3 linked regions of the Caenorhabditis elegans genome follow. The protein of the gene in region 1 purifies or fractionates together with the protein of each later gene. This does not show direct contact. Each region holds a gene or a part of one and is shown in the gene's direction. Other genes may lie near its edges.

Region 1 (3,756 bases):
GTGTTTTTTTCAGAAAATTTGAATTTCCCACTAAAAATTGTCTTTCTCACAAAGTTTGAATTTTCCGCCAAAAATATTTTTATCAGAAATTTGAATTTCGTGCCAAATTTTTACCTCAGAAAATTTAAGTTTTTCTGCCGAAAATTGTTCTCAAAAATTTTTTCCCGCTGAAAATTATTTTTCAAAAAATTTGAATTTCCCGCCAAAAAAATTTCTTTAAAATTTGAACTTCCCGCAAATTTGAAGAACGTTGAACAGTTAGTCCGTGTGATTTGATCTACTCGATCTCATTGATAAGATCATATACCAAAATACTATACATCTATATTCCGACTACAAACTCCCATGACACCTCACCATTCTTCTCACCCCTCCCCTCAAGCATCTTCCGATCTTCAAAGAGTTTCGTCGCCAAATTAGGGTCTCCACAGCAGCAGCATCTTTCAACGAAACGATGCCGACCCACGTGCGTTATCAGTTTCTTTTGACCACATTGCATCACTATTTGTGGTCTCCTCAATGTCACGTGTCCAACTTCCCCCGCCCCCAGCCCGCCCCTTTCGACGTCGACTCATTTCAGTTTGTCGACGACGACGAAATTCGTGACGATCCGAATTTTGCGTGAGGGTGCTATAAAAGTCGGCACTTGCATTATGTGCAGTAACACAGTGCCACTATAGTCTACTAGCACTCAGATGTTGTTTACAGTTTTTTCTTCTTCTTTCTCTCTTTCATTTTGGCGAGTTGTATCTCGGTTCATATTGTAGATATTTATAAATTTTAAACTACAAAGCTTTGTCAAATGAATTTTTTCATATGCTACATAGTTTTAAAGCTTTTATGTTACATTTGTTACTATACAGTACTATTTGTAAACTATATTTACCTAGTTTTAAAATATTTCCAAAAAAATTTTATTTCGATATTGTTTTTAGACAACCCTTATGCCACCCCAATTTTCAAGACATACAATGCCGGTTAAGGGATTTTCCAGAAAGAGTTTAAATTTCAAAACGTTTACTAACAAGATGTGGTGTATTTTTTCCGTTCATTAAGCGGCAGACGACTTGCGGGCCAATTTTTTTAACATTAAATCTGCAATTATCTGTAACTCAAGTTGATGTTTTTATATAGAACATTTGAACAAAAATTGAATTGCCGGAATGGAAATTTTCGGCAAACCGGCAATTTGACAGAATTTAGAACTTCCGTCAAAACAGCAAATTGCTAATTTGCCGCAAAAATGGTAATTACGGAATATTTTCGGCAAATTGTGGCTGTGCACATTTTTTTTTTGGAAATTTTAGATTATCAATTTTATCATTTTTAAATCGGCAAAGATTATCAATTTAATTCTGCATAATTGTACGTATCCTATGAATGCTCCTACATCTATTTTAAAAAGCAAAAAATTTCCATGAAAAGATTTCGAAAAAACGGGCAAAAAATTTCCAAAAAGGCTTAGTTTCCGTCTTATAAAACATCCCTTTAAAAACTTCAGGCAAATTGTTATTCGGCAATTTGTCAAAAATCAAAGTTTCCGGCAAGTCCACAAACCGACAATTTGCCGAATTTTTTCGAAAAAAAAATTTGCCGAACTGCAATTGCTGCCCACCCCCCTGGACTTTTTTCTTCCTTTTTTATCCTTAAACTCTATAAATTCCAGAAAACTCAAAACTTCAATCAAAATGACTACATTCGACAAAGGAGCAAAACCAGATATCGGCACTTTTGTTGCATTCGACCATGTTAGATTTGTAGTCGGAAATGCTAAACAAGCTGCCTACTGGTATTGTGCAAACTTTGGCTTTGAGCCATTTGCCTATAAGGGGCTCGAGACAGGATCTAGAATTACTGCTCAACACGCTATTCGACAAGACAAAATCGTGTTCATTTTCGAGTCAGCATTGTTGCCTGATAATTCAGAACTCGGAAATCACCTTGTTCAACATGGAGATGGAGTTAAGGATGTGTGCTTTGAGGTTGAGGATCTTGATTCGATTATTGCACACGCAAAAGCTGCAGGAGCAACTATTGTGCATGATATTACTGAAGAGTCAGATGCTGATGGATCCATTCGATATGCTACGCTTAGAACGGTAAGAGACTTAAAAATAAAAATATCTTCAAAAATTCCGAAGTTGTTAAATTGCACTGAAGATTGACCAGGAAAATTTGGTGGAATTAAAAAATTTTTGAGAAAAAATTTTGACGAGAAATGCAAATTTCTAATAATCCAAACAATGAAATATTATTTTTAGTATGGAGAAACCGACCACACCTTGCTGGAACGTAAAAATTATCGTGGAGCATTCCTGCCCGGCTTCAAGGCTCATCCAATGCCAGCCACATTCTTCAAGACTCTTCCACGCGTTGGATTGAACTTCCTCGATCATTGTGTCGGTAATCAGCCAGACTTGCAAATGGACTCAGCTGTTCAGTGGTACGAGAAGGTGCTGAAATTCCATCGATTCTGGTCTGTTGATGATTCCATGATTCATACCGAGTACTCGGCTCTTCGTTCCATTGTTGTAACGAATTTCGAGGAGACTATTAAGGTTAGTTAATATAAAGAGATCGATGGAGTGCGGCTGTCCTGTGAGATGTCGGCTGCTAGTTTTTATTGTAAAGAAACAGCAGCCGACAAATCGCGGGTTTTAAAAAGACGCACGACCTTTTTTAATTCAAAAAATTATAGCAAGATTTCTTGTGGAAAATACATATTAGTAATTTTCAACAAAAAAAAATCAAGATATCGATTTGGTAAATACGGTGTCCTATGAGATGTCGGTTGCTAGTTAGTCTTTATAATCAATAGAAAAATAACAGCAGCCGACATATCGCGGGTTTTAATTTTTTTTTCTTGTGGAACAATTGTGTACTCTACGTGGGAAATGAATAATTGTAATTTTCGTGTAGTCCTCCAGGGCATTTTGAATATGGAATACTGAGTATCTAAACATTTTCAACATCTATTTCAGAAACCATTTTTTAATTTGAATACGACGAATGTTTTAAATATTCGATTTTTGGGAAAATAATTGAATTTTCAAATAATTGTGTTTTTTTTTCTGGCTCTCCAGAAAATTGACAAAATAATTTAAATTATTTTCTGAAAAACACTGAATAACATAGAAAATGCTTAAACTTTTAATACAAAAATTTTGCAGATGCCAATCAACGAGCCAGCCACATCGGACAAAAAGGCAATCTCCCAAATCCAGGAATACGTGGATTATTACGGAGGATCCGGTGTTCAACACATCGCACTCAACACATCCGACATCATTACTGCAATTGAAGCTCTTCGAGCCCGTGGCTGTGAATTCCTTTCCATTCCATCAAGCTACTACGATAACCTCAAGGAACGTCTCGCGGCTTCTTCAATGGTAGTTAAGGAGGATATGGATCGTCTTCAGAAGTTGCACATTTTGGTGGATTTCGATGAGAATGGGTATTTGCTCCAAATCTTCAGTAAGCCATGCCAGGACCGTCCGACACTATTCTTGGAGATTATTCAGCGACAGAATCATGAAGGATTCGGAGCCGGTAACTTTAAGGCTCTTTTCGAGTCTATTGAATTGGAACAGACAAAGAGAGGCAACTTGTTCTATGATAATGTTAAGGATGGAAATACTAAGTAACTTATATTTTTTTTATTTTGCAACGACACTTCGTTGCCAAGACCCAAAGTGAATTCCATGTGCCATGAGATTGTATTATAGTTCCCCCTAACAAAGATACCCATTCCCACAA
Region 2 (3,756 bases), on another chromosome or scaffold:
AAACCTAGATTTTCTGAATTCAGCATATATGAATTACCTATTTTCAACAAATTTAGACAACTTTTTATTTTTGCCCAATTTTTTTGTTCCAGTTTTCGCAACAATTTACCAAACCTTAAAATTTGTTATCAAAAGTGATAATTGTTGCGGTTTTCTTTTGATCTCTTATCACTGTTCATATTATTTCCCATACTTTATTATTCTGTTTTTTTTTTAATTTTAAATTTCATATTTCCATGAAAAATCATTCATTATTCAATCTACACCTATCTGAATGTTCGGTCGTTTTCGCAAATATGCCACGTATCGATTGATTTCTCTATTCTACGTGTATGTGATGGCTCTTTACTCATTGCAAGTTGATGATGACCTCGATGATAAGGATAAGGATAATTAATTTCGAAAAAAAAAAGTTTTCTTTTTTTGAATAAAGCTAATTTTTTACTTTTTTATGAATCAGTACTAAAAAAAATCTGGAAAATTATGGCCCAAATCAAGAAATTTCCAAAAATTAACGTCTCCGGAAACTTGTTTCTCTTGTTAGGCTCCGCCCATTTTTTAGGCCAAAATTTGAATAAAAAATTGTCAAAAAAAATTTGCCGCGAAGATCATTATTTATATATTAAAAAATATTATGAATTGATACTGGTATAGGGTTAGTATGGGGATATGGTCAGTGTACTGTAGTAGTACTGTAGGGGTACTGTATGAGTACTGTAGGATTACTGTAGTTTTGGAAAAATTGACTTTTTGTCTTTTGAAGAGATATTGGTTTGAGGTTAGTAGGGGGTATAGCCGGGGTACTGTAGTAGTACTGTAGGGGGTGCTGTAGGAGTACTGTAGTTTAAGAAAAAATTTAGTTTTTTTTTTTCAAATTCAAATTTAATGGGAAAATTTTTTGGTGGGAATTAAAATCTTCTGTGATAAAATTTTGGCTGAAATTCAAATTTTCTGAGAAAAAAAACAACTTTTTTAGAAAAATCTGGAAACTTCTAGAATTTTCTAAAAATTGAATTATAATTTTTCAGACCAAACTGGCGACTAGAGTGGCGACTAGACTGAAAATTTTTCAGAGCGACTTTTTTGCAGCTCAAAGCTGTGCTCCCACTTGGTTTCAGTCCGTCAATACGGTTTGATCTACAAAAAATGCGGGAATTTTTTTGCCCAAAAAAATGTGACGTCACTCTTAACCATGCAAAATCAGTTGAGAACTCTGCGTCTCTTCTCCCGCATTTTTTGTAGATCTACGTAGATCAAACCGAAATGGGACACTCTGCCACTGATTTTTTTTGCACCAGGGGCCTATTTAGAATGGGGTTTTTTTTCAAACGAATTAGGTTTTATTTAGAAGTCTGGAACTTAGTTAAAATATATTTTATTTGGCCCTTGTAAGTTTAAGTTTTTCAGAATTTTCAGAACTTTTTGAAAGAATTTTGGCGCGCGAAACTTGAATGCTGTGGTTTTTCATGCTACGTGGCTGCAAAACTTCTATTGTCGCAGATAGAGTATACAATCAATGTCCTGGATCTATCTCGATTTCATTCGCATGTCTCTCTGCGGCTCTCATCTACCAATACTCTCTCACTTCTATCTGTTCGTTGCGATCTCTGCGCTGCCGTCCTTGACCGCGATATGTCATACAGAAACTGTATTCATTCTCGACTTTCTATTTTTTTTTGTTTTGGAGAATTTATGTTCATCTTAAAATTAATTTGGTTTTTGAACATATTGAGGAAACGGTTTTTTGAAAAATAATTTGCTTTTTTTAAAAATTTTTTTCCCAAAACACATTTTAAAAAATTAATTTTAAAAAATTTCTTTGACAAGCGACACGCGGTTCTGGCTTCCCTCATAAATTGAAATGGAAGAATTTGCCGAACTAGGCCAGGCCATATCCGGGGTAGATTTACGGCGCGTTGCGTGTCGCGTCGCGGCTTGATTTCAGTTGTAAAACTAAATGTATTCGTTCGTGTGGAGTGCACGACTTTCCCAGTCCGGCAGGCAATTGTCAATGGAGCGGGAAAAATTTAATGAGGAAGGCCAGAACCCCGTGAAGCGACACTCCGTTGCTAGGCGTTGCAGATTTTTTGTTAAACCTTCGAAATTTCAGTGAAAAATGACCGTTTTGATTACCGGCGGGATTTCAAAAATATCTACTCAACTTGCGGAGGCGGTGCTAAAAAACGGAAGAAATGTGGTTCTTCTGCACAATAATGAGGCGGTAAGTGGTGGCCTACAAAATTTTCGAAAATTAATTTTTAATTATCGAGTAGTATAGGATTTTCCAGCTGGCCGAGAAATCCTTGTAATGGCCTTAAAAGTTTAACGTTCCTATTCCGGCAATTGGTAATTTCGGCAAATTTGCCCAAATTTGTCCAAATTGCCGGAATTGCCGGAATTGCATTTTTAGGCTCCTAAATCTACAAAAAGTATGAAATTTTTATTTCCGGCAATTCTGGCGATTGCAGGTTCTCAAATTTTTCAGCAATCGGCAATTTTGGCAATTGCCGGTTTTTTGAATTTTCGGCAATTACCGAAATTGCCGAACAGCGAAAATGGTTCCCATTGAAAATGCTAGAGTGGCCTAGAAATTCTCAGGTGGCCGAGAAATTTCATGATGGCCTAATTATTTCAAATTTCTCTTCCAGATTCCAACAAATCTGATCAATAATCCATCGCTCACACTTATCAATTTATCATCAATCAACGAGGAAGCAATCAAAAATCTAATCGAAAATTACAAAATCCAAACAATTTTCGACGCATCTCTCACCACAACTGATGTGCTCTTGGAGCCAATTCAAGGAGCTAAGAAATTGATTCTGGTAAGGTTTTAGTAAACATGCTCTATTGGCAAACATTGGGTGTACTCCACGTGAAAATAGAGAAATTTCGAATTTCGTAAAGTCAGAAATTAAAAAAAAAATCCAGAAAACTCCTGGGAAGTCAGAAATTATCAGAAAATTTGGAATATTTTTTTGAAAAATAAAATAAAAATTCCAGAAGTCCACGTGGTGTCAGGCTGTCCCATCACGGTTTGATCTACAATAAATGCGGGATTTTTCCCCCAAAAATATGTGACGTCAGCACGTTCTAAACCATCTGCGTCTCTTCTCCCGCATTTTTTGTAGATCTACGTAGATCAAGCCAAAATGAGACACTCTGACACCACCTGAAAGTCCGAAATTTCTAGAAAATGTTGAATGCTTTAAAAAAAATCAGAAAATTCCAGAGGTTTCTTTAAAAAAAAGGTTGAGAAAAATTGAAAAATTTATATCTTTTCTAAAATTCTAAAAAAAATACAAAAAAATATTTTAAAAATAAATCAACATTTCCAAAAATCTTTGAACAATTTAGAAAATTCACGAAATTGCAGAAATTTTCAGAAATTTCAAATTTTTTTGAAAAATTTCCGTAAAAGCACGCGCGCTCAGTTGACAAACCCCTAGAATTAAAAAAAAATCAATATTTTTTTCAGGGAATCACGTCAATCCTCGATGCAATCCGTAAATCCGCATCCCCACCATCTCTGGTTCTCATTAGTGGTGACGAGGTGTACGGTAGGGCGAAGAATCGTGTCGAGACCCAACCTCTAGAGCCGGTCACATTCATCGGCTCAGCTCAAATGTCCGTTGAAGCAATGGCTCACAGCTATGCTGTCAGTTATCGTATTCCAATGGTCATCGGAAGGGTATCCGATGATTTATCGATTTCTGACGCGACACGTGGATTATTGGCAATTGAAAAGTTGGCACA
Region 3 (3,756 bases), on another chromosome or scaffold:
CCCAAGACGATTGATGCTGAAATTATTGAAAGTGTAATAGAATTAGATAGTTAAAACAAGGCTCTAGCTCAATGCTATAGTATTTATGACTTGTATTGATACTAAGTAGCTCTACAGTACTCCTACGGGATAAGATGTATTCGTAGTTGCCTTGCCGCGAAAAAAGCTTTTCAAGCGCAAACTTCATGAGTTTAGCGTAAGATACTTGACGTTTGTTTGAAGTTAAAGTATAATTCTCTAAAACTATCATTTTGTGAGTATAAAACCTACCAAGGAAAGTGGTAATGAAGACGCTGATGGAAGCAAAAGCGATGAAGAAACTTTGACGATTGAGAGAAACCAAAGGCGTCGGAAGAATTCCATTGTCGAACAACAAAGCAAACATGAATGGTGGAAGGAAAATAGTTGTTGGAGCAAGTGAAAGCATACGTGGACCAAAAAGATATCCACTGAAGATTCCGAAGAATAGAGTTGAGGAGAATAGAATACTACGTCTTTCAGTGTCATCCAAACTGGAATTCTTGCGAATACTGTAGTAGATGTAAACTGGCAATGCAGCAAGGATCAGAGAAACGACAGAAGTATCGAAGACGTATTGAATAAGTGGAGTCAATGCATATGCACCGGAGAGTTGACCTCCAGCCAAACCAATCAAAATGACCTGAAGTATATTATAATGTAGACAAAATAATAAAGAGTAAAACTCACTGAGATTCCAAGATACATCTCAACCAAGCTATTCTTCGTCTCTGTATCAATCACTTCCAATGGACTATTCTCTGCCAGTGACTGATTCACATAGTCTCGAGCATCATAAGCAGCTGGCTCAGCGACTTCTTTCAAACGTTCTGCAGCTTTCTCCACTTTTCGTCCTGTAATGTTTACACTCTCAATTTTTAATTAATTTGTGTAATTCAATGAAGAACTACCAGCAGAGACAAATTGAGTAACTAACCCAAATAAAAAATTCCATCGTAATATGCAATGACACGACGACGCAGCGTTTCAATGGTAGTCGTGAACTGTTCCACATATCTTTCAGAGATCTCCGTCATTGCTTTTTGTTTCTTCAACACTCAATCAAGACGCACTTCTTCGATTTTCAGCTGAAATTGTAAATTCGAGGAATGAGGAAGCACAGAAAAACTAACTAACCGCGACGCTACTGATGAAAAGTAATGAGCAAAGTCATCTCCTCATCTCCACGTGGAATGATTATTTAATTTTACATCAAAATCGTGGTTCACGTTTTAAAACAAAGATTATTTATTGTTAACACATGGAAATTAAGAAACATGTTTTTTAAATTAAAAACAGAGTTTAAAAATATTTTTGGAATTAATAATTAATGAGTCAAATCTTAATTGTTGCCCTGAATTTCCTGTAAACTTGATATCCCGCCACGATCTAACTGCTGTCGTCTGCAATTAGAGATTACGGTAGGTTATAAAATGATCGTTGCTGCGAAACACCAGACACAGGACCTTTCTTTGTAAAAGTGCAAATAGATGTGGGGTTCATTTTTATAATTTTTAAAGTTGTGCTTTTGCTTGACTACGTTATTATCGTTCTGATTTGTGTTTTAAAAATAAAGTACGTTATAAATTAATAATTTTTTATCAGTTTTGCTCAATCCTTTTCATTTAATTTTATCGGATTAGTATAGTATAGATAATTATACATCTTGTTATTAGTGTAGAGAAAATTAATATAAATATAGGTTCCAATTGCGAAAACCTGATCCTTCGTGTTGAACGGGTCTCGGTGTTATTTCTTTTTTAGAATTGCCTGATGACGTATCGTAATATTGTTTGACCTCCGCGCAGAGATATTCTCAAGAGAGTATACAACAACGACAATAATCTTATCAACTCCTCTCCAGTCAATTACCGTTTTTGACATGGTATGGAACAAAACACGTGACTATTTAACATTGTTATACCATGACGATTTCGTTGAAACGGTCATCTGAATGGGCAGAGACGCAGTCAATTGATAGAAGAGATAGTACTATCTAATTGTGAGACATAGACATTTAGATAAGGTTTTGCACGAAACACCTACAAACAACCGTATTAGGTATTCTGTTCCTGTCCGATTGACTACTTTTTCTGTAAGGCAGAATTTCGAAACTAGAAATGTCGGAATTCGATGAGGTGAGCATTTTTCTTGATTTTGGAAAAATCCTTCCCCTATCTCGCTTGTCAATTTGGTTTTAACCCAGTTAACCAAGGTTAGAATGGATTCCGACCATTCGAAAGAGTGTGTTGAATAACAATAATTTTTGGAACAGCTTATTCAGGGTTATCCGCAAAAGATAAGAATATAATTCACCAGTAACTGTGGCTCCCGATAAAGAGAAAAACTCAAGGGGTAATTCGATTACACGTTAAGGAATATTATAAGAAGAAGTGTCCATTGTTGAAATACATCTAGAATTGAGTTACTTCTCTTGAATAACATCGTTGTCTCGTTTCTTTCATAAGGTTTTCGAGTCTGAACTTATTCTTTCTTTTGCCCCTTCCATCTTTTTCTTTTCTCTTTCTTCCGCTTTGTCCTTTTTTCTAAATACGTCATCACCACCTCCTGCTCTCAAACAAAGTTTTCTTTCTTTTTCTGTTTATAGCATTTTTATAAAAATATTTTTAACTTACGAGGACAAATTAGAATCCTCGTACCAAGTTGTCAAAGCTGTTCTCATGAAATTATAGAATATTTCAGAAGTTATATTCCACCTGCTTCCAAAGTTTTTGTCTACCTTTTTCTCATTGTGCCTTTACTAATCTAGTAGTTTAGAAGTGGATTGCGTATGTAATTTGAATCGAATTTCTGTGCTCATTTCTCATTTGATCCATTGAAACTCCCTTCGAAAAAAGAAATTTGATTCCAATTTCGCCGTCGTAGGAAGCTTTTTTACTACTCGCATATTTATTTTTCAGTTCTTCAGACAAATAGGCGCTTTTAATTTTAAAAATTGATTTCTGGTGAGCAGACGTGTCGGGTTTTTGAGTTGAAACTTTGATGATCTGGCAATATTGAAAATAGGGGAAACTCTGTGACGACCAAATATTATAGTACAACTTTTCAACTTTTCGATGGAAAAAGTGAAAGCCGAAAACAATAAAATTTGGAAAGTATCTGATAGATCCGTGCGATTCAAAATCATATTTTGGAAATTGATAAAAATTGTCTTCTATAAATTTTAAATGTCACTTTTGTTGTTTTTATTCAAGCAGTGAATAAATTTAAACATTAAACATTGTTTGAATTGAAATTATTTCCAAATTTGGAAACTTGCCAAAACTTTAACTGAAATTGCTCAAAAATCTTAAACCTTTCAGCATATATATAATAGACCAGCCGTGGACCGCACCTCCGGCGCGGCCCCCGACTTCTGGGGCTCAAAACTAACTTTTTCTGAAACTACCGTAACCCTACAGTATTCCTACGGTACCACTATTGTACCACTACAGTACCCCGGCTATATCCCTACACTAACCCCAACTCACTATCCCTCCATAAGCTAAAACTTCACAGACTACAAAGACTACATAGACTACAAACTATGGACAAACGGAATAAGCGCTTTATATTTAGTAAATGATATTTGCTTTCTGATCCATTTCGAGCAAAGTTTTACAAAAAAACATTTCCAAAAATGAGGATTCATAATTCTTTCGACCACCTACACATTACATTTTTCTTCAAATGTGGCGCCAAAGGATCATGAGAGTTAACCTCTAAAAATTGATGAAT

Evidence for each region.
Region 2: the proteins of hpd-1 (region 1) and rml-5 fractionate together in Caenorhabditis elegans (co-fractionation; one large-scale study listed by BioGRID). This does not show direct contact.
Region 3: the proteins of hpd-1 (region 1) and hgo-1 fractionate together in Caenorhabditis elegans (co-fractionation; one large-scale study listed by BioGRID). This does not show direct contact.

The regions. Positions count from the first base shown.
Region 1 is NC_003281.10:10,533,860-10,537,615, forward strand, and holds the start of hpd-1 (4-hydroxyphenylpyruvate dioxygenase), read left to right. Parts: upstream 1-1,666; 5' UTR 1,667-1,688; coding exon 1,689-2,099; intron 2,100-2,261; coding exon 2,262-2,558; intron 2,559-3,170; coding exon 3,171-3,644; 3' UTR 3,645-3,756. UniProt on the Caenorhabditis elegans protein: Key enzyme in the degradation of tyrosine.
Region 2 is NC_003279.8:1,791,144-1,794,899, forward strand, and holds the start of rml-5 (NAD(P)-binding domain-containing protein), read left to right. Parts: upstream 1-2,110; 5' UTR 2,111-2,116; coding exon 2,117-2,221; intron 2,222-2,648; coding exon 2,649-2,825; intron 2,826-3,478; coding exon 3,479-3,756.
Region 3 is NC_003279.8:9,053,718-9,057,473, reverse strand, and holds the start of hgo-1 (Homogentisate 1,2-dioxygenase), read left to right. Parts: upstream 1-2,081; 5' UTR 2,082-2,138; coding exon 2,139-2,156; intron 2,157-2,211; exon of another isoform or gene 2,212-2,325; intron 2,326-3,756. Other genes in the region: spe-46 (uncharacterized protein), read right to left, coding at 1-16, 271-661, 709-872, 956-1,055. UniProt on the Caenorhabditis elegans protein: Plays a role in the tyrosine degradation pathway.